Coturnix japonica: one gene and its partners. The protein of the gene in region 4 interacts with the protein of the main gene of each other region in a pairwise test. Links are inferred from orthologs where the notes say so. Each region holds a gene or a part of one and is shown on either strand. Other genes may lie near its edges.

Evidence for each region.
Region 1: the proteins of CBY2 (region 4) and PLEKHN1 interact in binary tests that used the Homo sapiens proteins (3 or more experiments, as listed by UniProt). The two-hybrid records come from large-scale screens. The link is inferred for Coturnix japonica from reciprocal best matches to the Homo sapiens genes CBY2 and PLEKHN1.
Region 2: the proteins of CBY2 (region 4) and POLR1C interact in binary tests that used the Homo sapiens proteins (3 or more experiments, as listed by UniProt). The two-hybrid records come from large-scale screens. The link is inferred for Coturnix japonica from reciprocal best matches to the Homo sapiens genes CBY2 and POLR1C.
Region 3: the proteins of CBY2 (region 4) and TXLNA interact in binary tests that used the Homo sapiens proteins (3 or more experiments, as listed by UniProt). The two-hybrid records come from large-scale screens. The link is inferred for Coturnix japonica from reciprocal best matches to the Homo sapiens genes CBY2 and TXLNA.
Region 5: the proteins of CBY2 (region 4) and C28H19orf44 interact in binary tests that used the Homo sapiens proteins (3 or more experiments, as listed by UniProt). The two-hybrid records come from large-scale screens. The link is inferred for Coturnix japonica from reciprocal best matches to the Homo sapiens genes CBY2 and C19orf44.

The regions. Positions count from the first base shown.
Region 1 is NC_029536.1:2,436,640-2,442,404, forward strand, and holds the start of PLEKHN1 (pleckstrin homology domain-containing family N member 1), read right to left. Parts: upstream 3,709-5,765; 5' UTR 3,453-3,708; coding exon 3,373-3,452; intron 2,154-3,372; coding exon 2,054-2,153; intron 1-2,053. UniProt on the Homo sapiens protein: Controls the stability of the leptin mRNA harboring an AU-rich element (ARE) in its 3' UTR, in cooperation with the RNA stabilizer ELAVL1.
Region 2 is NC_029518.1:27,798,230-27,804,132, forward strand, and holds POLR1C (DNA-directed RNA polymerases I and III subunit RPAC1), read right to left. Parts: upstream 3,355-5,903; 5' UTR 3,312-3,354; coding exon 3,243-3,311; intron 3,170-3,242; coding exon 3,098-3,169; intron 3,002-3,097; coding exon 2,894-3,001; intron 2,803-2,893; coding exon 2,670-2,802; intron 2,110-2,669; coding exon 1,990-2,109; intron 1,775-1,989; coding exon 1,622-1,774; intron 1,487-1,621; coding exon 1,337-1,486; intron 811-1,336; coding exon 694-810; intron 470-693; coding exon of another isoform or gene 435-469; exon of another isoform or gene 355-434; coding exon 236-354; 3' UTR 46-235; downstream 1-45. Other genes in the region: protein YIPF3, read left to right, coding at 3,442-3,504, 3,575-3,781, 3,856-3,962, 4,044-4,089, 4,679-4,771, 5,113-5,244, 5,749-5,862. UniProt on the Homo sapiens protein: DNA-dependent RNA polymerase catalyzes the transcription of DNA into RNA using the four ribonucleoside triphosphates as substrates.
Region 3 is NC_029538.1:4,544,309-4,550,195, reverse strand, and holds the start of TXLNA (alpha-taxilin), read left to right. Parts: upstream 1-2,561; 5' UTR 2,562-2,732; exon of another isoform or gene 2,733-2,746; intron 2,747-3,096; 5' UTR 3,097-3,132; coding exon 3,133-3,241; intron 3,242-4,043; coding exon 4,044-4,382; intron 4,383-4,868; coding exon 4,869-4,960; intron 4,961-5,308; coding exon 5,309-5,479; intron 5,480-5,856; coding exon 5,857-5,887. Other genes in the region: KPNA6 (importin subunit alpha-7), read left to right, coding at 1-175, 1,177-1,361. UniProt on the Homo sapiens protein: May be involved in intracellular vesicle traffic and potentially in calcium-dependent exocytosis in neuroendocrine cells.
Region 4 is NC_029516.1:150,250,409-150,256,420, reverse strand, and holds CBY2 (spermatid-associated protein), read right to left. Parts: upstream 3,333-6,012; 5' UTR 3,233-3,332; intron 1,788-3,232; 5' UTR 1,782-1,787; coding exon 804-1,781; 3' UTR 705-803; downstream 1-704.
Region 5 is NC_029543.1:3,385,712-3,391,518, forward strand, and holds the start of C28H19orf44 (uncharacterized protein C19orf44 homolog), read right to left. Parts: upstream 3,385-5,807; 5' UTR 3,235-3,384; coding exon 2,476-3,234; intron 2,234-2,475; coding exon 1,882-2,233; intron 1,362-1,881; coding exon 1,288-1,361; intron 1,098-1,287; coding exon 632-1,097; intron 122-631; coding exon 26-121; intron 1-25.

The DNA of each region.
Region 1 (5,765 bases), on a different chromosome or scaffold from region 4:
AACTCCAACCTCCTGCCATCCTGACCCATTTGACTGGGACAAGGACCAAGCAAGGCTAAGACAATGCAGTTTGCCTTCCAGGACAGGGGTTTCCCTTGTTTCCTGAGCTCTGGTTCAATGGAAATTCCTTCCTTGTGCAACAGCACAAACCCACACCCCTATTGCACTCCACTGCCCACAGCCCATGGGGTATTGCACACAGGCTCAGAGATACTCATTGCCAAGCAGAAGAGAGGATGGGAGCCACGAGCTAACCCTGAACCAGATTGCAAACCACCCAGAGGGACCTTTTTTTACCCATTTACATGGGATATTTCCTCCCATGTCGAGGCAGGAGGGTTGTGATGGTGACATGTTGAAGCAGCATTTCCAGGCACGCAGCAGGGAGCCGGGGGACAGCAAAGAGACAGCTGCTGCACCCCGTGATGAATGCAGAGCCAGCAGTTCACCCCTGTGGGCCCCCATGAGTCACCCCTGTGGAATGGCACCAACCCCAGCCATCCCTGGTGCTCAGCAGCTCACGGGACCCTCATACCTGCAGAGCTGAGCTCCTTCTGCACCCACAAAGAGCTCTGAAATCTCCTCCAGGTGCTAAGCTAAGTGCTGCTGTAGTCTCCCTCCCAGCTCCATGCATTGCTATGCACATACACCCGAACCACGGGGAGCTGCAGGCTGCCTGGTGATGCTCTCACCGGAGGCAATTAATGACTGTTTCTGTGCTTCCCATGCTCAAACCTCAGCACCCACAGGGCCCGGTGACTCAGTTTTTTTTCCCCTCACACACTATTTGCCCTTGGAGAAGCCCGGAGCCAGCTCTGTGTTTCCAGCTGCAGCCCAGGGTCAGGGCCGGAGGGGGAAGGGGAGAGGTTCTGACCCTGCATAGCCAGTGGGCAAAGGGAGGGAATGGGATTTTTCTCTCTTGAGAAAGATATAATTGAGAAGAGCTTCCAAGCGCCGGCGGTCTTATCAGCACCCATCAGGTATTGTGGTCAGGCAGGAAGAAGTGGGACAGCTCAGGTCAATTTTTTACCAGGTGGGGCTCTCTGTGTTTTTCTATCCCGTTTGTGCTGCAGGCAGCACAGATCCCAGGCAAGCAGCTTTCTCTTGGGGCTTGGCAAGCAGTGCCAACCCCAACACCTCCTTGGCCTCCCCACATCCCCGCTGCTCATCCTGCAGGTAGAGCCGGTTGCTGATTAACCTGCCCGTACCCCACATCCCCCACTGAATCACCCTGCAGGAAGGGCTCAGCCCTGAGGCTCTGAGAACTGCTGCTCACACAGCACCCAAAGCCAGAGCTGTGCTCCGGGCACATCCTTCCCCTTAGGATTTGCTGTGGTTGGGTAGGGTGGGAAACAAAGGGAAGGGTGGGGTGTGGGAGCTAAACAAGGATGCTATCCCTGGTTGGGGTGGAAGCAGGGATTGGGGGATGCACTGTGCACACAGCTGGGCTGACTCCATCACCTCCCAGATGGAGATGTCCCACTATGGGTGCTGCTGAGTTCCAGGCAGGATGTCCCTTGTAGCAAGCATAGCACTACACCTCAGTTTCCCCCTTCCTCCACATTCACATGACCCGACTGCCATACAATAGCATGGCACTCAGTGCTGCCCCATCCACAGCCCTGGACCACCCCGAGGTGCTGGGCAAACACAGTGCTGTGTTCCCCAAGCAGTGCTGGGATTCAGCCATATGGCCACGGGGCTGCTACGTGCCCGGGGCAGACCTGCCCTTCCTGATTATCTTCCCAGTTCTCATTGCTAATACGCTGCCTGCTCCGTCTCATTCCAGCGTGGGAATGAATCATCCTACCTTTGAGTGCTTGCATTTTCCCTTCCTACCCAGAAACAAAGAGCTGAGAGTGATGATGATGTTCCCACCGCACTGTGCTCCCCCTGAATCTCACACATAGAGATACAGCGTGTCCTTATCCCCTCCACAGGGACCCCAAACATAGAGCTCAGCCCTGAGCTGCCCTGCTGCAGAGCCTGGTGCACCTTTGGACCTGGGATGGGTGGGAATGTAGCCTGTGGGGCAGGATGTGCTGGTACTTGCCTTCCCAGGGATGTACTGCAGGATTTTGTCCGTCGTTGTATCCCTCTCCCCATCTCCGTCTATGCCAAAGAAGCTGGGCAGCTTTTTCTTGCCATTTTGCCTATGGGGCCAGAGGGAGAAATGGCAAAGATTTGAGCTGAGTTCTGCTCTGAAACAGGGAACTTGGAAGGCTCTGTGAGCAGTTTGCTCTGGGCTTTCTAATCATCCCAGCTCAGCACTGGGCTGATAACTGTCTGGGATGATTACAGCAGGTTTCATGCTGCACCTGTTGGTGTTTCTTTGTTTTATTTTCCATTTCTTCACATCACCAAATGTTCTCAGCTGAGCCTGGGAACAGCACAGGGCAGTGATGTCCTATTGCAATGTGCCACCTCCAGCCCAGCCCTGAGACCCTCAGGGCAGAGCTGTATGTGCACACACATGCACACCCACACCCACATACACAGAGCTGGGTGTTATGGGGTCTTTGTGGTTTTCCTCTCTTCCCTTCCACCCCCTGCAGGCCCCCCCCTGGTACAGCACACAAGGAGCCCCATTTGGGGCTGCAGTAGGAGTGTAGCACTGCCCTGGGGGGGGTTTCAGGGCTGTTTGCTTCCCATAAAGGCACAGCAGGGGTCAGGCTGAGTGCCAGGTTTGGGGTTTTCCTTCTAAAGGGTTAGGGACGGGTGGGTACACTGGGTTAGGGTGAGGCTTAGGGTTAGGTTTAGTTAAGGTTACCATTGGGATTATGGCTGGGGTTAGGGTTTCCATTAGGGTTATGGTTAGGATTAGGGTTACTGGTAAGATTATGGTTAGGATTAGGGTTATTGGTACTGGTAAGGTTATGGTTAGGTTTAGGGTTAGGGTTACTGGTAAGGTTATGGTTAGGTTTAGGGTTAGGGTTACTGGTAAAGTTATGGTTAGGATTAGGATTTTTGTTACTGGTAAGATTATGGTTAGGGTTAGGGTTACTGGTAATGTTATGGTTAGGGTTATGGTTACCATTAAGGTTATGGTTAGGATGAGGGTCAGGGTTACCGTTAAGGCTATGGTTATGGTTAGGGTTATGGCAGCACAAATAAAACACAAAACAAAGGAATGCTGAGCACTCAGCTCTGCTCCCCATAGTGGGGAGGTGATCTTTCCCAACTCCAATGAAATAAATCACTCTGTTCCTCAGTGCAGTGAGGCTTCAACCCTCCGGCACAGCACTATGATCCCACCCCAAGCTCCTGCAGCTGCCGTAGCACGCAGCTTAAAACCCCACAAACCTCCCATTGCTCTTTGGGATTCCCAAGCAGATCTCAGCACCATTCCCAATAAAAGCACTCATTACTCACTCTTTCTTTAATGAAGGTTTCCTCCTGAAGGAATTTCGGAACCCCCCAGGTGCCTGCGGGACGCAAGCGATGTTCCCCATTCCTGCAACCCAGGAGTACTGGGAGCACTGGGAGCAAAAGCAAAACGTGTGTCACGCAGCCATGCCCCGCTTCCGTCTGTCGGCAGTGACTTGTGGGTGTGAGCCGCCAGCAAACAGACTTTTGGCCCAGGGCTCTCACCGGCTGCTTCTCCTCCTCCCCGCGTCGAGCTGGGACGTGTGGGGAGGGGCTGGGTCCCAGGGCTGAGCCCAGCTCACTGCATGGGATAGGGCTATAGAAATGCCTTGGGTGTATTTGTCCTACTGGGAGTCAATGGGCACTGGAGGGGATGCGGAAAGAGATGGTGACGAAATGGGGTTGCTAATGATGAGGTGAAAGGTGGATGTAGAATGAATGCTCCCGTCCTGTTGATTGAAACAGCCAGGCTGGATGGTCACAGCAAATGGGGAAACTCAGAAGCAAACACAAAGCACGTGGAGGATTCACATCTGAGAGTTCTGCAAGGAGAGTCTTGAGTTGCGGCTGTTCGCTTGCATTGGTATGGAAGGAGTTAATAGGGATAGTGCTGCCTCGGTGGGTGAAGAAGAACCCCCCTCTGGCAGTGAGGGGTTTGCAGGGAGCAGCTTTTGTCCCTGCAGGGTCACAGACAACCCGGCGGAGCAGCAGCAAAGGCTGATGCTGAGAGAAGGAAGGTAATTTAAGCCCAAAACAGCATGTGTGTTTTTAATGGGAAGGTTCATTCCGTGCTGGAACACCTCCCAGATTATGATGGATTCTTTGACGTGGGGTTTTAAGACCGGGAGAGGATGTTTTGCTAGCGGGGATGTTTGGACCACGCTATAGGGACACGTTGGGGTTGTTGGACTCTGTCTGTATCCACCTTGTGCTGGTGGGTGCAAGAGCAGCACATCCCATAGCACCAATCCCACAGCTGGGGAGGGTCCTGCTAAGAACAGAACATCTGCCAAAGGCTCCTGCACCTTCCACTTCCAAATCAGCCTCTTATCCCACTTCTTTTATAACTCATTAACCCTTTGTGGCCAGGTAAAGCGATGGGACACCCCTTGCCCCCTGTAGGAGCCCCATACATCCTATGGCCGGGCACTTCTGTAAACCCTGCATAGCCAAGTCCTGGCCCCTCCTGGCAGCCACCAAAGCTCACAGCCAATGGTAACAACTGGGATTTGGTCAGGAAAGGTCTGATTTCTGCTAAGAGCCGTAGCTAACACGCTCAGCACCGTGACCAGAAACGTGCTGTTCCTCTGGCGTTGTTTGCCGGCCTCCAGACCTCGGAAAGACTTTTACAGTTATTTATAGAAGCCCGAGAGAGAAGCAAGAGGCCGGGGAGCAGACAGAAAGAGGACACGGCCGGGCAGCAGCCAAGCCAGTGTGACAGCATGGGGCTCTGCTGCAGGGCTGTGCATGGGAAAGTCCCCCCCTCGGGCCCCACAGATGCGGTTACCCCATGCCATGCAGCTCCACGCTGCCCTTTTCACCCCCTGCTCCTATGAAAGGGGTCTGGCACTCCCCCCAGCCAGCAATGAGTGGCAGCAGCTCATGAAGGCAGATCCGACCCCTCTCCGCTCCTCCCAGCCCCTGTGACAGCTGGAGGGAAGGAGGATGTTTCCCCCCCAGTCTGGTTTTCATTTCCACGGCAAGGAAAGCTGTCAGCAGTGCTGGAGGCTCCTGGGGAGCCCAAGCTGGGATTTAAAGGCTGAGGGAGGTGTAAATCACTCTGCCTCCAAAGCCCCCATGCCTCGAGCTGGGTTGGTCCCAATGAGCTCCAGCAGAACCCCCTCCCTTTGCTTTTGTCTTCCCAGCAGTGCTGCCTGATTCCGCCAGGCAAGTGTAAAAGAAGGATGCAAAAGGCAGGATCCCGTATTCAAGAAAACACCTTTATTGTACACATTGGCTTTGTATTGCTTGTATCCCTTCCCCGGTCCCATGTAGTGCAAAAAATTCCTTGAAACAGAGTTCCACATAAATAAGGGGGGGGTGACTTACAGAGAAACCAAAGTGACAACGGTTGGACATGGACACGGCGGGTCTGCTAGCGGCGAGGGGCGAGCCGTGCCCACAATGGGGTCAGCACTGCCAGCCACAGCTGGACCCCTGCGGGACATGGCTGGATCCCCCCCAGCCCAAGTGGACGGAGCTCACATAGGAAACAGCACATTTGGGGTGAGACAGCACTAAGTGAGGACGGCAGAGGAGCCGCGGAGAGCTGGCGGTTCTCCTCCCCACGCAGGGACAGACACAGACGGACGCACGGCCCCCGCTGAGGTCGTGCAGCACCAGAAGCAATCCCGACCCCGGCGTCAACCCGGGGGCAGGTGCCGACACCTCGTGTCCAC
Region 2 (5,903 bases), on a different chromosome or scaffold from region 4:
TTGTATGGTACAGTCTCACAGTTGTTAACTGCACAGAAGCAGGCAGAGGTAAAAGCAAGCTTTTATTTCAGTGCATCTCCTCACTGAGGCTCATCACACACGAAACAAAGAGATGGTCCCAGGGCTCTTAAAAAAATCCATCTCCAAATTCATGCCTAGGGCAGAAGAACCACTCCTGCCGGCCAGAGCAAGAAGCCCAAAACAGCAGCACAGGGTTCTTGGTTGTACAGCTCACTCACTCCATTGGCACAGCATCCAGTTCATTCAGGAAACGCTGACACTTTCCCATCAGTATCTTGATGGCTTCAGTCACCAGCACGTCTGGAGGCAAGATACCTGTCGACTCCACTGAAACTGCACAGAGACAGAAGTCAGCACGGCCATTGCGCTGCTTCAGCCTGCGGCTGGCTCCAGCGTTTGCTCCTCATCTTCCCTTATGCTGCACTTCCAGCAAGCCAGACCTTTGCAGCTGAAAGAAATAAGCCAGCAAGAAGCACAAACACATCCTACCCCAAAGCTGCACCAAACCACTATCTCAGTAGCTCCCCAGAGGAATACAAACATAGGAAGAATAACGATGCCAAGTAGAAGGGAAAGACTGAGACCAAGGTATGCACACTGGCCAGCCCCTGCTTGTTTGTACAAAGCAGAATCGGGCTGGGCACTCTGCTCTGCACAAAACAGGCTACTTACAGATGTAATGATTTCGCACCCTGGCCAGGCGCACCAGGTTTTTCAGACCCTCGTGTCGGAAGACTTCCCTGCTGAACGTGTCCAACCGTGCGTTGGCTACTCTTGCCACCTTCTTTCCTAAAAGGAGAAGACAAAACAAGGTGGGCACCGGCAGCAGATGAGCACCTTGGGGTCACAAAAAGTACTTACCCCTCAAGCAGCAGAGGCAGCAAAGCCACATATAATTAGCACATCCCTAACATGAAACTCCAGCTTGGCAGAATTCATTTCCTCGAACAGTTCTAAGCCAAACACAAAGCCTGTATGTGCTCCTGGGCAGGACACAAGTCCTCCCCGTGCTCAGCTGTTACAAAGAGCAAGCTCGCTACCCAGACACCTAACAGTAGCACAGGGCTCTACAGACAGGCATGCAACACATAAGCATTTCAGGGAGATCTCAGTTCACTGCTAAAAACATTTGTGTGTGACAGCCACTCAGCCACTACAACCAGGCTCAAAACAGCACCAACTGTTGTTGATCAGCAAGACAACATCGCAATGTGTTATTTTCCCAACAAGGTTTGACTACAATCTCTACTGTCTCTATTCAGTCACTGCTAAGACTTGTTAGGAACGAGGCACTTTACAGCTGGAAAGAAAGTACCCTTGACGTTCTGGATCTCAATGACTCCAGGGGAAAAGCACTTCTGTAACGTCTCGGCTGCCTCATCCTCGATAGGCTGCAGGAGAGTGATGTCAGGAAGCAGTCGATAACTAGCTGTGGCCACAGGAGAAAACTTGGCATGATCTTTACCTGCACAAAGAGTTCAGAATTAAGGATGAGGACAGGCCTTGGGGTCAAGCTAGTTCTCCAGTGTTTCCCATCACACAGCTGTGCTCGAGTCCAAGCACCAGCACACCCACTCCCCAGCTCAGACCCAGCACTCACCTACACCCTTGACGCAGTGCATGAGCACATCTATTTCCTGCCCAGGTCTCAACAGTGCTATAAGGATGTCGTCGTGGACAGGTCGGAAGTCAGCATCCGGAAAGAGGTCTGTCTGATTCCCCAAGGGAACCCATGTCATGTGCTTACTGTACACTGCCAAAAGAAACCACGAGCATCAGCCAGCTGCTGCCTCAGAAAACAGGTTGCTGACCTGAATAGGAGATGGCACAAGCAAGCTATGTATACTGTGAGGAAATGAGCTGTCTCTGCTCACAAGGCAAAACACCAAGAGAGAGAAAGAAGAAAATGAACAAGAGAAAAAGCAGAAAGCTGCACCTACTTTTAGGGCAGGCACAAGGAGCTCTCACCTTTGTGATTGAAATACAGCTCGTTTGGGTCAGACGATTCCTTGGCTGCCTGAGGATTCCGGCTGCATTTTATTTTCAGCTGGAACTGCAGAGTATCAATTTCCGTCCCCTCTTCATCTCCTGGAAATGGCAAAACAGTATCTTTATGGAAGTGAATTCTGCTTTGTTGAAGTGTATCCAGGGGAGGGACACATGAATGACCCAGTGATGGAACATCTCTCCTACGAGGATGGGTTGAGAGCTGGGGCTGCTCAGCCTAGAGAAGAGAAAGCTGCAGGGAGACCTGGAAGCGGCCTTTCTGCACCTAGGAAGAGCATGCAAGAAAGAAAGGGACAGACTCTACAGCAGGGTCTGCTGTGATAGGAGAAGGGGAAACGGTTTGAGGCTTAAAGAGGGTAGATTTACTTTAGAGATAAAGAAAAAGTCTATTACTGAGTGAGAGTGGTGAAAATGAGGGTGGTGAGGCACTGGAACAGGCTGCCCAGAGATGCGGCTGATGCCCTGTCCTTGCAGACTTACAAGGCCAGGCTGGGCAGGACTCTGAGCACCTGGTCAGATGTAGGAGTCCCTGTATGTTGTGGGATCGTTGGACCTGATGGCCTTCATGATCCTACGGTGTGACCCCAGCTCCTGGTTATGGGCTCCACCCTCCCCACCGCTGTTCGACCCGAGCCCCTCACCTTGATTCCTGTACTCAAAGAGCCGCGGGTCGGCCCGGATGGGGATAAGGCCCAGTCGGTGCGCCAGGATCTCGTCCTGCACGATGGACGTGTTGTTGTACACAAACACCTTTTCCACAGCCATGGTCGGCACCTCGGGGGGACGACAGAGCGAGGCGATAAGCCGCCAAGCAGGGCACCGCACGGGGACCATCCACTCGTCATGTCTCCCAGCCCCGCGGTACCTCAGCGAGCAGGATGCGGCGGAACGCGTTGGCGATGGCCGCGTCGATGCCCACCATGTCGAACTCGAGCACGCCGTCCTCCTCCCGCACCACGTCCACGCGGAACCCCTGCTCGGGAACCGCGCCGCGTCACGACGGAGCCGAACAAGGGGCCCCGCAGCAGCAGCTCCATCAGCTCCATCATCTCCATCAGCTCCCACTCACCTCCTCGAAGCGCCGCTGGTCCCACGCGTCGTCGTACCCGGGGTAGTTGCCTGGGAAGTCAGTGGTGTGGACCTGCGGGGGGCGCAGCCCGTGAGGCAGCGGGGGGTGATGCGGGAGCCGCCCCGCGTCCCGCCGCCCCACGCACGTTGCGGACGCCGAACTCGCCCAGCACCACGCGCTCCCGCATCTCGTCCGTGCCGCGCCGGGCCGCCATCGCCGACGGAAGGACGCGCCGCCGCCCCGCCCCGCCGCACGTAAGGCGGCCATGCGGAACTGACGGCTCTCGCGAGACACGGAGCGGCCGGACCGTCACATCCGCGTTGCCGTCCCCCGTTACCGGCGCTATGGCCGCGGCGGGCGGCAGGAGCGGCACCGCCGAGTGGGGCGGCTTTGAGGACAACGTGCAGGTGGGGCCGGCCCGCGGGGGGGGGGACAGAGGGGCCCGAGCGGGCGCTGACGATCCGTGCATCGGAGCAGGGCGGCGGCTCGGCCGTCATCGACATGGAGAACATGGACGACACGTCGGGCTCCAGCTTCGAGGACATGGGGGAGATGCACCAGCGCATGAAGGAGGAGGAGGACGAGGAGGCGGAGGGCGAGGCGGGGGCCGGCGGGGAAGAGGACGGCGAGTTCCTGGGCATGAAGGGGCTGCAGGGGCAGCTGGGCCGGCAGGTGGCCGACCAGGTGAGTGGGCTCACGAGCCGCCAACAGCCCCGCCGGCCCCGGCCCCGCCGCTGCACGTACCGTTCTGTCCGCAGATGTGGCAGGTGGGGAAGCGACAGGCGTCCAAAGCGTTCAGCCTCTACGCCAACATCGACATCCTGCGGCCATACTTCGACGTGGAGCCCGTCCAAGTGCGCACCAGGTGGGCAGGGCAGCGGGTGCACGGGATCTGTTGCTTCTTAATGACTGTCCTGATGTCGTTCCCCGCTGTGCCGTAATGCAGGTTGCTGGAGTCCATGGTGCCCGTCAAGATGATCAGTTTCCCACAGGTGAGTTCTCTCTCACTGAACCAGACCCCACAGCCTGAGTGACTGTTCCACAGAGACCCCTCAGATGTAATTAGCCTGTTATTAAGGATCCAAGTCTGTTAGATGTTCACCTCCCTCAAAGTATCAGTAAACCCTTTCCTATGGTTGTTCCAAACCCCATTCTCATAGAATTGTAATCATAGAACATCCTGAGTTGGAAGGGACTCATAAGGCTCACCTGGCTCCATACAGCACCACCCATAAATCAGACCATATAGCTGAGATCATTGTCCGGATGCTTCTTCAACTCCAGCCAGCTCACTGCTGTGACCGCTGCCCTGCACAGCCTGTGCCAGCGCTGCCTTTACCTTCCTGCTACCCTTAACGCTGGTACAGTTGTAGAACTCTAGACCTCACTTTGCCCATTTCTGCATCCTGTTGAACACCACTCTGACTCATCACAGTCTGTTCTGTGTGGCTTCTGTCAGCAGTGGCCTTGCAGATGCTCCTCGGGTGATAAAAGTCTCCAAGATGCTCGTTATGTCTCTCAGGGTGGAGAGCCTGGAAGACAGGAGCACTAACTAAGCCTCATCTCTCTCTTTACATGTAGAAGATTGCAGGTGAGCTTTACGGACCCCTCATGCTGGTCTTCACGCTGGTGGCCATCCTGTTGCATGGGATGAAGACCTCGGACACTATCATTGTATGGCGAGTCTCAGTGATTCATTTGTGCTTTGACCGGGTTTGGGATTGCTATAATGACACTGGAAAGGGAGAGGAAACCTCTTCTGTATCACAAGAGCTGAAAAGCAGATTTGATCTGAGGAAGATCCTTTTGGTTTTGGAGAGGGGAGGAAAGTTGCATCAGAAAGTCCCAATGCTCTGTAGCTGGGAGAGATGGGGTGTAGGTCGTGGGGCAACCTGCCTGCTGTTAAGCCAGCTGTTTGTATACATGTATGAAAGGCTCTGGGTGCTCTGCAGTGAAACTCAGGTGCTGGCAGGCCCTTGCTCTGAGTTCTCTCTGTCCTGCTGCTGTCTCCACAGAGGGAAGGCACACTGATGGGCACAGCCATTGGCACCTGCTTTGGTTACTGGTTGGGAGTCTCCTCTTTCATCTATTTCCTGGCATATCTGTGCAATGCCCAAATCACGATGGTGCAGATGCTGTCGCTGTTGGTATGTACGGATGGGGCTGCCCCAGGATGGATGCTGGCTGCGTGGTGTTCCAGAGGGGAGGGTAACCTGTGAGCTCTTCCCAGAGAGCTGGAAACATCTTTGTAAATGAGTGGTCCCAGATGACCATAACCTTGTTGCACAGGGACAACTTGGAATCCGGGATGATCTTTGGACCTGATCTGTCCCAGACACAGAGATGGCACAGAGCAGCTGTTAGTGCTTGCAAGTTTCCTCTTGGGGAGATTCTCATTTTTCTGGGATCAGAGGCTTTTTTCCTTGCATTTCCTAGATTGATGCAATCTCCAACAGTCCTGTGAATCCTTCTGACAGATGAGCTGGGTGTGAGCTCCTGTTAAATCTGTTGTGCTGGTTGACATTCTAGCACGGAGTGTGCAGTCTGCAAAGTAGTGCCTTGCTGAAACATTGCAAGCATTGGCTGTTTGTTGCTCAACAACCTTTTGTGTGCAAGTGACAACTGTAACATGGATGTGTTTGTTTTGCCAGGGCTATGGCCTTTTTGGACACTGCATCACTCTGCTTGTCACCTATAATATCCACTTCCATTCCCTCTTCTATGTTTTCTGGTTAGTCGTTGGTGGACTCTCTACACTGCGAATGGTAAGTGACTGGCAGCCCAGAGGGAAGTGTTTCTTGCTTTC
Region 3 (5,887 bases), on a different chromosome or scaffold from region 4:
CTGGTCAACCTGGGTTGCATCAAGCCTCTCTGTGACCTCCTTACTGTCATGGACTCCAAGATTGTTCAGGTGGCGTTGAATGGCCTGGAGAACATCCTGAGGCTGGGAGAGCAGGAGGCCAGCCAGAGCGGGACAGGCATCAACCCGTACTGCAGCATGATAGAAGAGGCCTACGGTAGGTTCTGCTGCCCTCGGTGCCACTGACTCTGAACACAGTAGAATATATTGGAAGGGTCTGCTAGTTTTGTTTGCTTTTCTGATGAGTTAAGGGGCTGGGTGTGCTCCAGATGAGCTGGTATTTGTTCCAATAATAGATCACACTGTCTTTGTAGAATGTTACAATACAGCATAAGATAATGTCAGGAAGCAAACACTACTGTGCTTGTGATCCAGGTTTCTTAGACCCAGAGGCCAGGCTGATAATTGCGGCTCACACTGTTGGGAATATTAATCAATGTAAGCTGAGCTGAGTAAGACCCACTTCTTGGGTCTTTGATTTGTCTAATTGTCCCCAGCTGTGCACTGCAAACGCATGACAGAAATCCAGAGAGACGGAGCTTGTCCCTGGAGAGCCCTAATTTGGTGGTTTTGTCCTGTTCCTAATGCTTTGAGGAACGGTTCCTATTTTGGTCTGAAATGCCCTGTATACTGTCAGCATCGTTTTTAATGTTTTTTCCCTTGCCCTCTCACTGACTGTTACATTGTGTGTCCTGGTTCCTCCAGTAAGAATAATTCTTGACATTCCTCAGTGTGCAGTGCTCGGATTCTTCCCGTTCAGCAGTGGGTTTAATTAGGACAGCTAAAGTTGTTGCTGCCCTTCTGCTGAATGCTGCTGGGACAGGCCCTGCTTCCTTCCCCTGCAGCTGCTGAATGTTCCCAGCCAGTGGCACAGATTTCACTGCCCAGTTCAGTGCTCGCAGTTCTTTGCTGGAGACTTCCTGCTTTACTGCATCAGCTAAACCTGCAACTGGGAAGGTTAATGGTTGCTGATATAGATAAAATCCACAGGCAGCTCTGGAGAAATGGGAATAGTTGGCTTTAGCTGTCGGTGCTGCTCACAAAATGCTCACGTAACACAGACAAGCAATGAATAGGGGGAAGGGTGGAGGATGGATCGGGACAGCTTGAACGTTAGGATCTCCTGTCTCATCACATTCCACTTTTGTCTTTTCTAAGGCTTGGATAAGATTGAATTCCTCCAGAGCCACGAGAATCAAGAGATTTATCAGAAGGCATTTGATCTGATTGAGCACTACTTTGGAGTAGAGGATGACTCTGCTTTAGCTCCCCAGGTAGATGAGAACCAGCAGCAATTCATCTTCCAGCAACCTGAAGCCCCTATGGAAGGCTTCCAGCTATAATACGCCCCAGGCAAAAAGACCACCACAAATTTGCCACAAAACAACTGGGAGAAGCTGCTGATCCCATTTCCTCCTTGCAAACGGAAGGCTGGACGCTCACTCCACCTGTTAGGAAACAATTCTTCCTTCAAACGAATAGACAGAGTGCTTTATCCTCATGAAGAAAATGGGATGTCTTGCACGTTTATTTTCTTTTTGCTGCTGCATACGTGTCTTTAAAGCAGGCATCTGGGTGGAGGAAGGACACTGAGGTAACTCGTTGCACCTCTTGGGTTTATTTTTCTTTGTGGTGATCTCTCCCAAATGTCACTTCTTACCTCGGGTACTTAATTGAGGTTTCAGCGTTGGGTTGGGTAAGAACAGAAATAGAAAAGCGAGTATTCAGACGAGAATAATTCTGGAAACCTGGGTTGATCTATTTAATTTTTTTGCACATGTTACTCTTATTAAAGACTCTAATTTGCCAAGAGCAGAGTTTAGCCCTGGCCTTTCTGCGCTCCCCATGCAGCGATCCTGGCAGAGCTGGGCTGGATTCACACTGCAGAACATGGACAAAGGGTGAGGGGCTGTGGGAGGATCCTCCCCGTGTCCTGATATTGTTGGTTGGTTTGAGCTGCTGCTGTTGACAAGGGTCGAAGCAGCCGGAGCTGGTGGCTGTGAGCAGGGCTGGGGCTGGGGGGGCTGTACTATGGGAGCTGCCCCATCCCCAGCTGTATTGGAGCCCCACAGCCCGGTTCTGGTGCTGTGTGAACACACTGGGCCTCATTTCCATGTTTCCGTCCCGCTCACAAACATTTTCCTTCATAAAGTCTCAGATCTGTGTATTTTATACGATCTATCGGCACCTGTTTGTCTAATCGGGCTCCAGAGGAAACCAACACCTGTGTAATGTAATGTGTGTAATAGCGCTGTGAGCCGTTACCTGCACACGAGGCCCGAGCTGCTCCCGTTATAGCGCTGTGTGTGGCCGCGCTCACGGTCGGTTCCTCGTACCGGGCCGGGATCGAACAAAGCGCTGAGCGGAGCCGGGCCGGGAGCGAGCGGCTGTGGAGACCGGGGGGGGCGGAAGTGGCTGCCGCGGGGCACGCCGGGAGTTGTAGTTCCCGCGGCTCTTCCCGCTCCTCGCCTCTGTCTCCCGGCGGCCCCCGCGGCTGCTCGGCGCTGATTGGTCGGCGGAGCGGGGCGGCGCCTGCGCGATGAGCGCACGCTGCGAGGCCCGGCCCGGAACCGCTTCCTTCAGTGCGGGACCGGCGGGGGGAGCGGGCGTTGCTGGGCGCTGCTGGGCGCTGCCCGCCGGTACAACGGGGCTCTGCCGCCTCAACCGGCACCGACCGCACCGGGAGGAGCGGCCGCTACGTCACAGCGCTGCCGGTGACGTCACGGGGGTACGGGCGTGACGTCACGGCGGGAGGAAGGGAGGTGTTGATGACGTCACGGGGGTCACGTGGGATGGCGGGAGCGGACGGGGGCTCCGGTCGGACCGGGGGGATCCGGGGATACCGGGCTGTATGGGGATACAGGGCTATAAGGGGATACCGGGATATGTGCGGGGATACCGGGCTGTGTGGGGCTGATACCGGGCTCCATGGGATCCGGTGCCGCGCGGCTCCTCGATGCCGTCCCCGTGGCGCAGCGCTGGGTCGCGGCGGGTCCCGGTTCCCGGTTCGGTCCCGGTTCGGTCCCGGTTCCCGTCCGCTCCCTCCATTCCCCGCTCCAGCTGCGGTTTCCGTTCCAGCGGTTCTCCCGGTGCTGAGCGCGGAGCGGTGCCGCCATGAAGAACCAGAGCGGAGACGGCAAAGCGGCCCCGCGACCCGCGGCCAAAACCGGCGGCGATCCGGGGGACGAGGCGGAACCGGCAGAGCCCAGCGCGGCCATGGAAGGTGCGGGCAGCGCCGCGTCCCGGTATTGGGTACGGGGCGGCCCGTTCTGTCCGGTCCGTTCTGTGCGACTCGTAGCGTTGATCCCAGCAGCACAGAGTCCCTGAGCGATCGGTTCCTTTAGTGCTGCTCTGTGACATTGAGACAGGAATGGGTGGTCAGCTCACAGCAGGTTCAATTAACCTTGCCCTGCGTTTTAGTAACTGTGGAACGTAGGAGATGCACAGCAATGCAGTGAGTTCAATAGCTGATGCTGTACAGCTCTGCTTGGGAGGAGTTGTGGATGTAGAGAAGTGCTGAGGGGCTGCTGGGATGGGATGGATTGTGCTGGGATGGGGATGGGATGGGATGGGGATGGGATGGGATGGGATGGGATGGGATGGGATGTGGGTCTGAGCCGCTACAGCTGCTCGTATATGTGAGCAAAGAGGCAAACTCAGCTTATAGATCTATTGTTGTGCAAAAAAGGCTCTGGGGATATTAGCAGGCTGCTGCTCCGAGGGAAGGCTCACACACAACCTGCTTTGGTTAGAGGATGGTGGGAGGGGGCAGTTCTTGCTCCTGACAGATGTCAGGGTCTCGGTCATGCTCTCGTGATCAAAAGAGGCTGTTAGGAATGCACCTCCATTGTCAGGGCAGCTGGCTGGAGGCACAGCCTGAACAAAGCAGTTTGTGTGCTGGGAGTTCAGCCCGCCCTGGTGCACTGAGGTGCTCGGGGAAACCTTCCCCTTGCTGTGTGTGCGTGGAGAGCAGAGAACAGGCGGCGTGGGGAAGCATCACGCCTTTGTGCTTGTATCTCCGACAGCTCCCCTTGCACAGGACGACACAAAGTCCTCCCGGGCTGCCGTGCAGGATGTCTCTGAGGAGCTGAGCAGGCAGCTTGAGGACATCTTGAACACGTACTGCGTGGATGCCAGCCAGGAGGGTCCGGGTGAGGACGGTGGGCAGAGTGAGCCCGTGGAGCCAGAGGAAGTGGAGAAGTGCCTCAGTGAGTCCCCGAGGAACGGAGATCAGGAGTCAGGCAGCCCCGAGATGAATGGTGAGAAGGAAGGAACGAAGGGGACCGAAGAGTTTCGACCTGGAGACGAGTGTGGAGAGCGGGATCAGAAGAAGGCTCAGGAAAAGAAGAAAGCCAAGGGCCTCGGTAAGGGGTTTCCTGCTGTGGTTGTGCTGCCAGCCTGAGAACTTTGGTGCAGATGTGGATTTTATACTGCACTAAGTGCTGTTAGAGAAATGAATACCTTAGGTACGTGTTTGGAAATAGTACAGCATCTTATTCTTGTGGTATGGGAGGAAACGTTGAGTGTTGCAAAGACACTCATCAGTCCTGAGTGCTGCTGCAGCCTCTGAATTGTGCAGGTTTCCCCTCTGCTGCACACAGCGTTGTCTAGTTGGCCCCTTGGTGGTTCCCTACTCTGATAACCACGTTTCTCCTCAGCTGCTTCAATTGTTCACTGCTGTATGTGGTGAAATCTGGGGGACAAACCCCCAAATAGGCACTGGAGATGGGAACTCTGGGCCAGGGTGGTCACAGGTGTGAGACCTGGTTTCTGTCTCCTGTCCTTGCCTTTATAAGCCACAACTCCATGTACGTGACGTCACCTTTCTGTTTAATTCTGTCTCACTGCAGGCAAAGAAATCACTTTGTTGATGCAGACCCTGAACACCCTGAGCACGCCAGAGGAGAAACTGGCAGCACTGTGCAAGAAATACGCTGAGCTGGTGAGTCCTCGTTTCTTCATTCCAGGCTCTGGGGCAGTGGGAGGACGCTGCTGCAGTGAGCACTGGGACAGCACTCAGAGCTCTGCTCTGTTTAAGCATTGAGTGCTTGGAGGTCCTGAAGGAATGTGCACTTCTCACCAATTCCAGTAGGATGTTAATTCAGGAAGGAGAAAGGCTGTGTGTGGGAGACCTTGGGTTCTGTATTCATCTGACTGTGCTTTTTATTATAAAGCTCCTGTCCTTTCAGAGTAGACAGAACACCTATTTGATCCCTGTGTACCCTTATATGGGCACAGCATTGCCCTGGTCTGTTTTGCTGCATCTCTGCCCTCTGCTCTCCTACCCTAGCTGGAAGAACACCGAAACTCCCAGAAACAGATGAAGATTTTGCAGAAGAAGCAGACACAGTTGGTGCAAGAGAAGGACCACCTGCAGAGTGAGCACAGCAAGGCCATCCTGGCCCGCAGCAAGCTGGAGAGCCTGTGCCGTGAGCTCCAGAGACACAACCGTACCCTCAAGGCGAGTGTCTCCTGGGATTGCTGCAGGAGCTGCTTCCTCCCAAACCCTTAGGTCACCTGCTGCAGGGCTGATTTTAAGGAGTGGTCGCCCGCAGTCTGATGTCCAGTGCAGGATTTCAGTTGTGCTGTTAATCTGTTATCTTGCAAGGGACAGCAGGGGAGGGAGCTGACCCTTGTGATTTTATTTTGAAGGAAGTGATCATTTGTGGGCTTGCTCAGCTCTTGGAGTGAAGGAGCTGCCATGCAATGGCCTGCAGAGCCTTCCTGATTGATACCAGCAGCAGTGGGAAGTTGGGTGGGTTCAGATCATCACGGCCCAGGGAGGTTTGTTCATCTGCCTGATGTGATGCCACGTTGCTGTCTGCCCTTCTAATACAGGAGGAGGGTGTCCAGCGAGCACGAGAGGAAG
Region 4 (6,012 bases):
AGGGGTCAATTGTAGTGGAGAAAGGTATTTCTCATCCATCTACTTGTCTAGGCATATGTCTGTCTGCCTATCTATCTATCTATCTATCTATCTATCTATCTATCTATCTATCTATCTATCTATCTATCTACCTATTTATCCACATGTACTGCAGAAAGAAAATCTGTACAGTTCAGATAATATTTCTATTATGAAAAAATGTTTTTCATAGAAAACTCCAATGCCATGTCATTACACTATTTCTCCCTAGGGGAAACACTTTACTAGGTTTGCACTAGTGCACGCTGCTTCATGGGGCGTGCAGTTTGTTTTTCTATGTCACGCTGTCTTTCATGACTCTGTATCCTGTGAGAGACCACATTTTCTGTGTGAGAGAGAAGGCTGGTTCATAGCAGCTGGTACAGTTCAGCCACTGAACATGGCCAGCCATAAGAAGGGGACAACTAGGGACCCAAACTCAGTTCCCATCTGAGTTTCTTATTTTCAGGAAGTGCCAATCATCTCTTTGAAAAGTATGGCCAACCTAAGGTACCTCAAATTAAGAGTGAAAAGAATGAACTCTTTTTTGAATATGCAGGCTCTCCATTAGCAGAAAATCCCCCCCAAAAGGCTGAAAAGCATGCTTTCCAGGCACCACGCTACCAAAAGTTGAAATCTGCCCAGGTAATATAAGAAAGTTTCAGAATAACACAATACTCTCCAGCTTTAATTTTAGTTCATGCTCTGCTTGTATTTTATTAAGTTCCTGGAAACAAAGAGAGGCACTTTCCAGGAAACAGAACTAGCAGGTTTAGCACCAGGCTTCAAATCTCTCCAAGTTGAAACTCGTTTGCCATGTTCTTCCCTTCTTCTTCATATATTGGGAAAGTGATGGCGATGAGCTCTTTCTCCAGCATTTCCAGTTGAGTTGTAATGTCTGACACAGTGTTTTTCACGTTATTCAGCTGCAGCTTCAATTTCTTGTACTCTTCCTGGAAGAATTTTTTCTCATCTTGGAGAGCGTGAAGGCTGTCTCTGTCATCAGCAAGACATTTCTCCTTGAGGAACACCTGGAGAATCTGGTATAAGTCATGGAGAGCCTGAAGGATTTCATTATCATCCTCTGCGGTTGGTGCAATCTTGGTGTCATTCTGGGTTGGCGTGGTGCTCTCCTCTTTGGCATCATGCTCCTCCTGGGAGGATGTGCCAGGGCTACCTTCTCCCGCAGCTGTGGTACATTCAGTGACCTTCTGAACTGAGCTGGCGCCTTTGTTCTCTTCTTGGACTATGAAGGTTGGTTGATCTTTCCAAATGCTGGGAACTGTTCTATTCTGCTTATGGAAAAACTCTAAGAAGCTGCTTCTTTCTCTGACCAGCTGGAGAGCCTTGTTGCTTGGACTGACCTGAAAACCTAAATGCCTCTCTGGGAAGAACGAGGACAGCTTATCTTTCTGGAGGCTTTGCTGGATGATGTCACTGTAAACAAGCTGGACACCTTTGTTCTGTGTCTGGAGATATTGCAGAGCCTTATTTTCTTCCCAGAGCATCCTGTTTTCGATACGGAGGACTTGGTTTTCCTCCCAGAGGGCTCTGTTCTCCTCCCAGATGCTCCACTCGTTCTCTGTCTTCTTGTTAAGGAGTCTCCTCTGGGATGCAAATGTTGGCTGGCAGTGCACCTCATTCACCCATTTACCATCAATAAATGTAAATGTCTCATCCCTCAGTTTCATCCGTGGGAAGACACAGTCCATCTCGGGCCTTGTACCCCGTGTGCTCTGGTTTGTCAGGTCAAAAGCAGACATGGTTATCTGTTGGCAAACAGAGAAAGATTGTGAAAAGACTTCTGCAGGAGGCCACTGCAGGAGGCCACTGCCCACTGGCAAGGACTAGATGACACAGAAGCTGGAGATGAAGCTTGATTAGGACTGCAAGAACAGGAGAAAACAGGCACTAGTGGAGAAGGCAAAGCCTTGGTGGCACCACAAAGTTTGATACAAAAACCTGGACTCTCTTTTCATCCCCTTGCATCAGTTTTACAGTCATGGAAGATAAATAAAATGCAGAAAGTCATATGAAATGAGATTGAGATTGAACTGCTTTTTAAAACAAAAGTATTTGTTTCTTTTTACCACAGCATAAAACTGTTGGGTTTTTTTCTGATAAAAAAAAAATGGTAGGCTGACTGCCAGTTTTTATCCTTCTTGCCCCAAAGCCTTCCAGTCACCCTCCTGTCCTATATGGCATCCAGTGCTGCCATATGACTGGTGGGCAGTCATTTTGCCTCTGTATCTGTCCCAAGCACTTGGCAGGGGGTCAAAGCCATGGCCCAGCTCTGCCAGGACACTGAACCCTTTGTCCTGTTTTGCCCCACAACCTTCACCAGCTGCTGCCTCCCTGGGCTCCTCCAAGTTACTTCTGAGACCCACCACCCACAGCTACCTCCTTCTTTGCCTTCCCAAACTTGCTTGAAAGCTCAAAGACATATTGCTACTGTTCAAAGCCCCAAATCTCTTCTTGAAGGAATAATTGCAATATGGGTCTGTTTGCCGTAACACTTGATTTTATTGATATAAGGTCTCTGCTTAACTTTCAGAGCTGCCTTCCGCATTGCCATCTGGTATATCTCACATCAGACTTGTGTTTGCATAATGTCATTCCTCTGCTAAAAGGGATTTCCCACTGTTTGCAACTGCTTGCCAATTTCCGCGTTTATTTTTCCCCCTTACATTGTGTTCAGAGCACAGCGAGCAATTTGTTGCTCCCTGCCTCACACAGACCTGTCCTTTTCCCTCAGAGGGTGCTGATGTCCCTGTCATTATCCCCATGATGGGAAGCTGAATCACAGGGGGAACTGATCCCTAAACCCTGATGAGAAAACAGCCAGCATCACAAGCCAAGACCCACCCTTCACTGTGTTTCATGCGCAGGCATTTAAAGCCACTTATGTTTAAAGTGTTTATATGGCAAGTTTTGAGGATAAACAGCAGTATATAATGTATACAGCATTGAAGGATGTTGTCCTGGGGTCAATTAAACTTGACAGCACCTCTATCAGCTCCTGTGTATTGCAGGGGAGAGGTCAACCCAGGCTTCAGAGAAATTTTCCCACCTTCCTTATTCATATTCCCAAACTAAAAATTCCTTCCACAGGATGGGGAGATGGGTTGGAGGAGCAGGGTTGGGGGAGACCGCATGAAATCAAGCATATATAGGTGTTTTGGCAGTACCAAATTACATACCAGCATGTACTCACCTGCTTGTTGGAGATGATACTCTACCCTCTTCACTGCCCTGCACAGCTGCCAGGTCTCCGCTTGGCTTTTTAGCCTGAAGTTCTGCTCCAAGTTCTGTATGGGGGGGGCATGGTGATGAGATGGGACAATGGAACCCACTGTGATGCGATCACCACGCCCAGAGCCAGCCCCTTCTCCACAAGTCCAGGAGCTCCCCCCTCTCCCCCCTCACAGCCCATTTTGTTTTATTTTTCCCAGCATTGCACATTTGGGTCATTTCTCATGGAAACGACCTTTCCAGTAGCCTAGCTCTCACGTCCTTTCTTGAACCCAGGCTTCCCTCTCTGATGCACATAACTGAGAGCAGTTTAGATGGATTCTCCCTCCATCACGCTCTCCTAAAAGAAATTTTGCTTTTATTCTGAATCTAACACATTAATTCTCTGGCTGAACCAATGCTGATAAGTTCAAAAACCACTTCCTTCTGTGTATGCGCTATGACAGCTGAAGTTATTTTTAAAGGACAACATGGATATGAGTTTTTCTGTAACTATAAGTTAAAGAGTAGATCATCACTGAACCCCATTAAGAAGAAAACAGAACATGCAGGGCATTCATGCATTACAAGTTTAGATATTATTTATAGCAGCTATTCCTGCTTCCATGTCTTTATGTTTCTAATAATCTCATTCTCTCTCTTATTTGCTTAATCTTTTAGATGTGGATTATTTCTTCATCTTTTTTCCTGTCATCAGGGTTTTTGAATAATAAATACAGCAATTAATGTCTATTCCAGTGAAAATTACCAACTTGACATCAATCCCAAAGTGACTGTTATTGCTTTAGGAAGTTAAAGGTATAGTTTGGCTTCAGTGTTCTGCAAAGATAATAAACTTAGGCATACAATTCTCTTCTGTATTTTTTTCCTTGTTTCTATTTCATCTCAGACAACACAATAAATAAGTAAATCAGAAGTTCCCATGACAACTCCCCGGGGTTCATTCTCCTCTGTTCAAGTTCTGGGGTCCTACAAAGAGAAACTGGAAAATATCCCCCTAAGAAGTAGTTGGCCTTCAGTCAGATGGCAGTGCCAGGGTGCTGTCCAGCTGCTACAGCTCTCAGGGGAGGCAGCTGAACTTCTGAATACCTGAGTGTGTGGACCACTGGCACAGACCTTAAATGAAAGTTTTAAGTTCTAAGAGCCGACAGAAAACTGAGCTAACAGAGACAAGGGCACCGTGGATTTATCAGCAGGCAAAGCCTGCTTGGTCCAGAACTCCTAGGAACTAAGTTAGCTGCATACTTTCACTTTTTCTTATGCATTTTCTTATTGTCCTGAATGTTGGATAAAGTTCTTCTGGCAAGTCACTTCTTTGTTGAAAGTTACAACTTCAAACAGTAATATATTTGGATCCAATTTAGCGAATATCATCAGATGTGCATACATGTATGTGGAGACACACACCAGAATTGTAAAGACACAGCTGTTCACGGCAGAACTTTTCAAAGCAACTGCACTGACTTCTGAGCTATATTGTCCTAAGGATAAGGCTGTCATTCACAAGGCTGTGAAGGCAGAAATAATGTTGACTGCGTTCCCTTCCCTGTCAAGAGATGGTAACTCCAGCTCTGTAAGAAGGGATTGAACTTACCGGCTGAGTGCTTTTCCCAAAGCTTCAGACTATTTCTCCACGTTAAGCTGTTACAACTCAGTGTTAGTTGGAATTAAAGCCATGTACCCCAAACCCCCACCCCACCCTATACCAGATTGTTCAGCTGACCTTGCTCTCCTCCTTGAGGAGGAGAATCCACAGGGCAGGACTGGACAATAGCATCTCCCCGCCCCCTTCCCTCTCCCCGTATACACAGTATTCTCCAGTTTGGAAATGCATCTCCATGCTGGGATGTGACAGGCCATCAGCCAGTCTTTGGCTGGAAAATGGAAGCAAGGGAGGGGAGAGCTGCTGCTATGAAGAACCTGTGCAAAGGACCCTGAAGATCCCATCCCATCTCATCCTCCTTCCCATTAGGAATGATGACATGTATCTACTGCAAAAGCACAACCCTTTCCTTCTTTTGCTTTTGGGCAAGGGCCTGTAATCAAAAGAATCTGCTTTTAGCAAATGCATAATATTATTCTCCACTTTTTAAAACGTGTTAAAAACCTAAAACTTTCCTTAATGAATGCAAAGGAATCCACTGGCACTTTCTATTACCCCGAACACATTTTTGCTTCTGAAAACTGCTTCTGCCTCTGTCAGTGTCAGCACAGGCAGCTGACCCCACACTGACCCCCTGTTCTTCAGGGCACTGTGCCTTCATGCAAATCCCACTGAGTCAGAAAGAAGTTTCTTGCATATGTGAGTGATCTTGAATCTTCTCTTGACCTGAATAACTGGGCAGGGAGTAAAAATAGTGTTTTGTCAGCAAGTGGCAGTGATGTGGCTGGAGCGATATGTCAGTGTTCTGCCCAGGAGGAACTGAGTGCACTTGGTCGGCAGTGCAAGAGCAGGGAGGAAAACCCGCAGAGCAGGTTTTCTGAGTTCGAAAAGGGTCTCAAGGACATCCCTCTGTCACCATCTATTCAGTCTAATTGCCCTTCCAGGGACCACATCACAGCACTGCTGCCAGCGTGCCTCAGTAACCTTCAAACCTGCAGTGTTCTGCAAAGTCTTTGCATGCCCATGCCAACACTAGCCAGTTGACCATGGCTAGGTCATCTGAGAGATGGAATAAGAGTGAAAATACCTACTTTTGTTACTCTGTTATGTTGCCAGTTCCTTCTGGGACACCAAGTAAG
Region 5 (5,807 bases), on a different chromosome or scaffold from region 4:
AATATTAAGAGATGTCTTTCAGTACCTTCTACTGCATCCATGCTGATGACATGACTGGCAATAGGTACTGGATCAACGTAGCTGTTCCCAACAGGCAGACCAAGCACTGCAGAGCTGTTTGCTGTGTAGAAGACAAGAATTACTGGGTTTGGAAGGCAATGATTCAGTGCTAGAATTCAGCTTTCAGGTCATGGGCTTCCTTAGAACAGTTTTAAACCCAACAGGGAATTCAATCAGACAAACTAATGTTGATGTAAGCCTGTGCCCTCCTCCCTTTACTTATTCTCATGTTCGCACAACTTGCCATTGCAGAAGCTGTATTTTCTAACCTCGGACACAGCACAAATAAAGGTTCACATAGTTGAAGGAAGCCACTGTTTTCAGCAAAGTCCTGTTTTCTCCTTGTTTATGGCAAGAAGCATCTTTCTTAGCTTCTCCTTTCAAAGAGGATTAGAAAACAAGTTACCCCTCAGAAATGAAGGGCACAGCTTACTTACAGCTATCAAAATGCTGTGGTTCAGAAAGCTTTTATTGGCACATCAGCTGGGGGAAGCTGATCAGGTCAGCTTGTAAAATATGAACAAATCTCAAGACTGAAGAGAGCGGTGTCCTGATTTAAACATTAACTTACTCTTTGACCAGCAGTAGGTGAATGGAAAATCCACTGTCTGAGCTGCAGTTTCTTTTACATCTACTCTGTGTACCCGTTTGTGCCTTTCTCTGGCAAGTAAAGGGGATGATGCTGAAGAAGATGGGTCTTTTCCAGAATACATGGAACTCTCAGAATGTTCCACTGACATTTTAGATACAGTTTCCTTGTCTGTTGTAGATGGAGATTGTTCAAAGTCTTCAGAATATTCTGAATTAACAGTTCTGTCATCACCATCAGGATAATCCTGCCTATGCCCAGAAAAAGATGAAGAAACTTCTAATTGCTCAGGGATTTCAGCTTCAGTCACGTTTTCAGTAGCCCTCTCAGAACTATCAGGTACAGCAATTTCTGCACTTATTTTAGGAAAAGTTGGATCCTTTTCCACTGGGAATGTGTCTTTTTTTGTCTTTCTATTTATTTCTGGACTGATTTGAACGTGCGTCCCCTGCAAAATAAAAGAGCTGTATGTTAAGAGAGTCAGCAATACATAATGTAAATATGGCTCCATAAATCTTTGCAACCAGTGAAACATGCCCATCTCCAAGAGTTTATTAGCAGAACAGATGTGTTTATTTTAGAACCTGCACCCTTCATCAAATGAAGGCAGAATGGAAAGACATGAAATTTCTACTTACTTGCTGCTTTAATTCTGCTGTCTCACTAATGTTTGATGCCAAATCATCCAGGCTCAGGATATTCTGTCTGAAGTCTGCAATTGAATGACAAATTGCCATGAGAATTCATAGGAAAGTTACGGTACTACTTCTATGAAGTGACAAAAAGAAGAAAAAAGGCCCAATATTAAGAAGGAACAGTACTCAATCACTTCTGAAATCTTTAATTCAGCAGCAGTTCTTTCCAAAGTCTCCTCCTCTGCAGGAGGACCTGCCTACGGCTCCACAGACCCTCAATGCCCTGCTTTTAAGCTCAAACCCAACAGTATATTGTCCCACTCATACATCAATACAGCTCTAAATGTTGGAGTTACGATGTCACAACTGTCAGCCAGCATCCTTAATCTGAATCATTCAATGAAAAGCCAAGAAAAATACAAATGTGCAAACAACAAAGATACATATACAACAAGATATAATTTCTTTTCTAAAGCTAAAGCTTATGTAAAAATAGTCTAATGAATATTTTCAAAGGAAGTATTTGCCCACGTTTATTAGTAAATAATTTGTATAATTTGTGCCAAGTCTATCAAGATAATGCTAGGAAATGCTTACCATTTGAGCTTATGCTGCTTGAATCTTCCACATCATCTGCTTTTGAAAATAACTCATCTAATGATTTTATTTCACTTCCATCACTTCCACTCGACGCTTGATTTTGCTTAACGTTGCCTCTTCTGGGCAAAATCATTTTTACAGTATTGTCTTTCGTGGAAGAAGTCAGTGATTGAGACCTCGTATCACACCGTGCTGACTGGTTTCTGCTGGCTGAGGAAGGTCTTAACAAATTCCTTCCATCTAAAACGTTTTCCTCTGAGTCTTTGCTGTGAAGAGAAGCTACTTTAGATACTTCTGTCAGCAGAATTTCCTTAGGAGACGGAGGAGGCGATCCTGGTGAAACTGGACTCTTTAAAAGAACATGAAAAAGAGATTTCTGCATTACCTCATTACTGCATGTAGATCACTAAAAACAGACTGTAATGGGTGAATCCCAGTAATTTGATAGTGTGAAATCATGCTAATTGTGAACACGCTATAAACAACTTAAAAATAGTTTTCTGGTGTTAGTAAATAGAGTGACATGCCAATCTAAAATACTCCCATCAAAGTATAAACAGAAATACACAATGCAGGGCAGTCTGTATTTACCTTTCCACTCCACCTGGGATCAGCTGTAACACACCTTTGGTTCTCCCTTCCACTGGAGAATCCCATAGAGCTCTCCATACATTCTCCCATTTGCTTCCCATCACCACCCAACCCGAGCTGTTGTGTAACCTTAAAGTTCCTTTCGGGGCTTTGGGTGCTTCCCTCTTCCTCAGAGCAGCCCTGGCTGGCAGCCACATTCCTACCAACGGCAGCAGAGCCCTTCAAGTATTTCTTGCCTCTCTCGCGGTGTTTAAGACTGGAAGCAGACGATGAATCTTCATCCCAAGGCTCCGGGCCCATCTCAGCGCTCTGCAGTTCCAGCTGTTTTTTCCTGTTGAGGATTTTGTTTTGCAGCTGCTCCACTTTTCTCAGAGCTGAATTCGATCTCATGTGAGCAGCGCTGAACGCAGCGCTCGTGGCTTCAGCTCCGCGCTCCGCCGTGTCCCGCTGCTGCCCGTGCGCTTCGCCCCGCACCTTCAGGAACCTGCTGCGGCCCAGCGCGGCTCGGCCCGGCCCGTCCAGCTCCGCGCCGACGCCTCGGATCTCAAGGCAGGAGCGGGGCAGGCCGCAGTGTCCGCTGGCGGCGGTTGCCCAGAGCGGAGCAGCGCCGCGTCCCTGCCGGGAGAAAAAGCGAAGTGAGGGGCGCCCCTGCGGCCCGTCTGGGCTCTGAGGGCCGCCCCGACCCGCAGCCTCGTCCCGAAACACCGGACGCGGCGCAGGCCTCACCCGCTCCCCGCCCGCCGCTACGCGCAGCGCCATCTCCGCACGGAGCACAACGAGGCCGGGCCGTATCCGAGAGACAGCGACTCCCCGACATCCGCACGCCTCCTGGGGACTCTAAGCCAATCGGAACGTCAGTTATAAAAGACGGGCAAGGAGCAGCCAATCAGAGCTTAGTATAGAACTGGATCAAGCGCGAGGTGTTGAGGGCAGGAGGTGCGAAGCCGTTACTGTGTGAGCGTGATGGCGGCCGGGCCTGCAGCGCGCGGCCTGCTGCTCCTTGGGGCTGTGCTGCTCCTTGGGGCTGTGCTGGGCGCTGCCCGGGCCGTGGTGTATTTCCAGGAGCAGTTTCTGGATGGAGGTTGTGGGAAAGGAAGGGAGGGAGAGGGTGTGATGGGGTGGTCGTTAATAAGGGTGGTGGGCATGCTCTGAGGGAGGGAGGCCCTTCCTGTGCCCCACATAACGCTCCTCCTTTGCTCTCGGTACCGGCCCGGTGGGGCAGGCGGTTGGCGGCAGCGCTGGGTGAGCTCTGAGTCCAGGCCGGACCTCGGCACTTTCCATCTCTCTGCTGGGAAGTTCTACGGGGATCCTGTGAGAGACAGAGGTACGTGGGGGCACTGGAAGGAGCTGCTATGTATGGGGAGGGAAAAAGGTCGTTTTTCTAAGAGAATGGAAGTGTAAATTTTAACCTGGCCGCAGCGAACACAATCAATGCCTCCCTCACCCAGCACTGCAAGGGCCAGGCTCTGGCACTCAGTACAGCCAGAGACCTGCACACCAGCATCTTGGGTTGGCGTCTCAGTCTGAGTCTCCTCAGAAACTGTGGAGCCCGCAGTACAAGAAAGACATGGAGATTTTGGAAAGGGTCCAGAGGAGGGCCACGAAGATGATCAGGGGGCTGGAGCACCTCCCCTATGAGGACAGGCTGAGGGAGTTGGGTTTGTTCAGCCTGGAGAAGAGAAGGTTGCGGGGTGACCTCATTGCAGCCTTTCAATACCTGAAGGGAACTTACTCCCAGGAGGGGAGTAAACTCTTGGAAAGGGCTGATAATAGCAGGACTAGGGGAAATGTTTTTAAGTTAAAAGAGGGAAGATTTAGGTTGGATGTTAGGGGGAAGTTCTTCACTAGGAGAGTGGTTAGGCCCTGGAACAGGCTGCCCAGGGAGGCTGTGGATGCCCCGTCCTTGGAGGTGTCCAAGACCAGGTTGGACGGGGCCCTGGGCAACCTGATCTAGTAAAGGTGTATGTTTGGTGGCCCTGCTAGGCAGGGGGGTTGGAACTACATGATCCTTGAAGTCCCTTCCAACCCAGGTCATTCTGTGATTCTGTAAATTTGAATATTGCCTTTATAGGTCTACAAACAAGGGAAAACTCCAAGTTTTATGCCATCTCCTCAAGATTTAAACCATTTAGTAACAAAGGGAAGACTCTGGTCATTCAGTATACTGTGAAACATGAACAGAAGATTGACTGTGGTGGGGGATATATAAAGATTTTTTCCTCAGACTTGGATCAGAAGAATCTGAGTGGAGCTTCCCCTTACTACATCATGTTTGGTGAGTTACTTGTCTGTCAGCACAATGTTGCCATTGCTGTTGTGCAGCTCCTGAAGGATGTTTGTGGAAAGGATTAAAAGCATAGAGGAGAAAGTTGCTTCAGTAAGAATGTTGTGGCTGTAAGCAGTTATTTCTTCTATAGTTGAGACATGTGAAAGTATGTATTAACAATCCATGTTTATCCAAAAATTCTCAGCTGATTTGAAGGGCATTTAAATATTTCAGGCCTTTACCTGATGTAAATGATGTAGCATAGGCTGTTTGTTATCTGCCCTTAAATATATTTGTATGTATAGTGAAATTTGTTCACTTGTATGTCAAGGTTTGTAGTTTAGTATCTAATGTGGTTTAAGAATTATTACATAATCCTTTCATTTATACTATAGATAGCAACCTGCATTTTTCTGCAACGCAATTAAGGATACAAAGCATGTGATCTCTTTGTAGGGCCAGATATTTGTGGATCTGAGACAAAGAAAGTCCACGTTATTTTAAATTACAAGAATAAACTTCACCCAATCAAGAAACCAATCAGATGTAAGGTAAACAGAGATTTCAAAGGTAAACTTCAGGATACCGAGTCAGAGGGATATTAAGGAGAAAAAACAACACTACTGCAAACATATGCCGTGATTCTGATGTAAGGCAGCTCCTATAAACTGTGCTTAAGGCTTTAAAAATATTTTATTTGCCTTCTCTAAAACCCAGGTCGATGGATATACACATCTGTATACTTTAATCATAAGGCCAGATCAGACTTATGAAGTGAAAATTGATAATGAAGTGGCTGCTTTGGGCAACTTAGAGGATGATTTGGATTTCTTGCCACCAAAGAAAATTAATGATCCAGCAGTGAAGAAACCCAGCGACTGGGATGATCGAGCCCACATTGCTGATCCAAATGACATCAAACCTGAGGTAACTCAGCACTCGGAATCTGTAGTTATTTTCTATTATTGAACTATTTCATTCCTGCTGAATTCATTTTATAAATTGAGCTATGCACTAGTTTTGATTTATTTTAGTCTTTCTGTGTCTTTAAAGCATTGGGATGAAC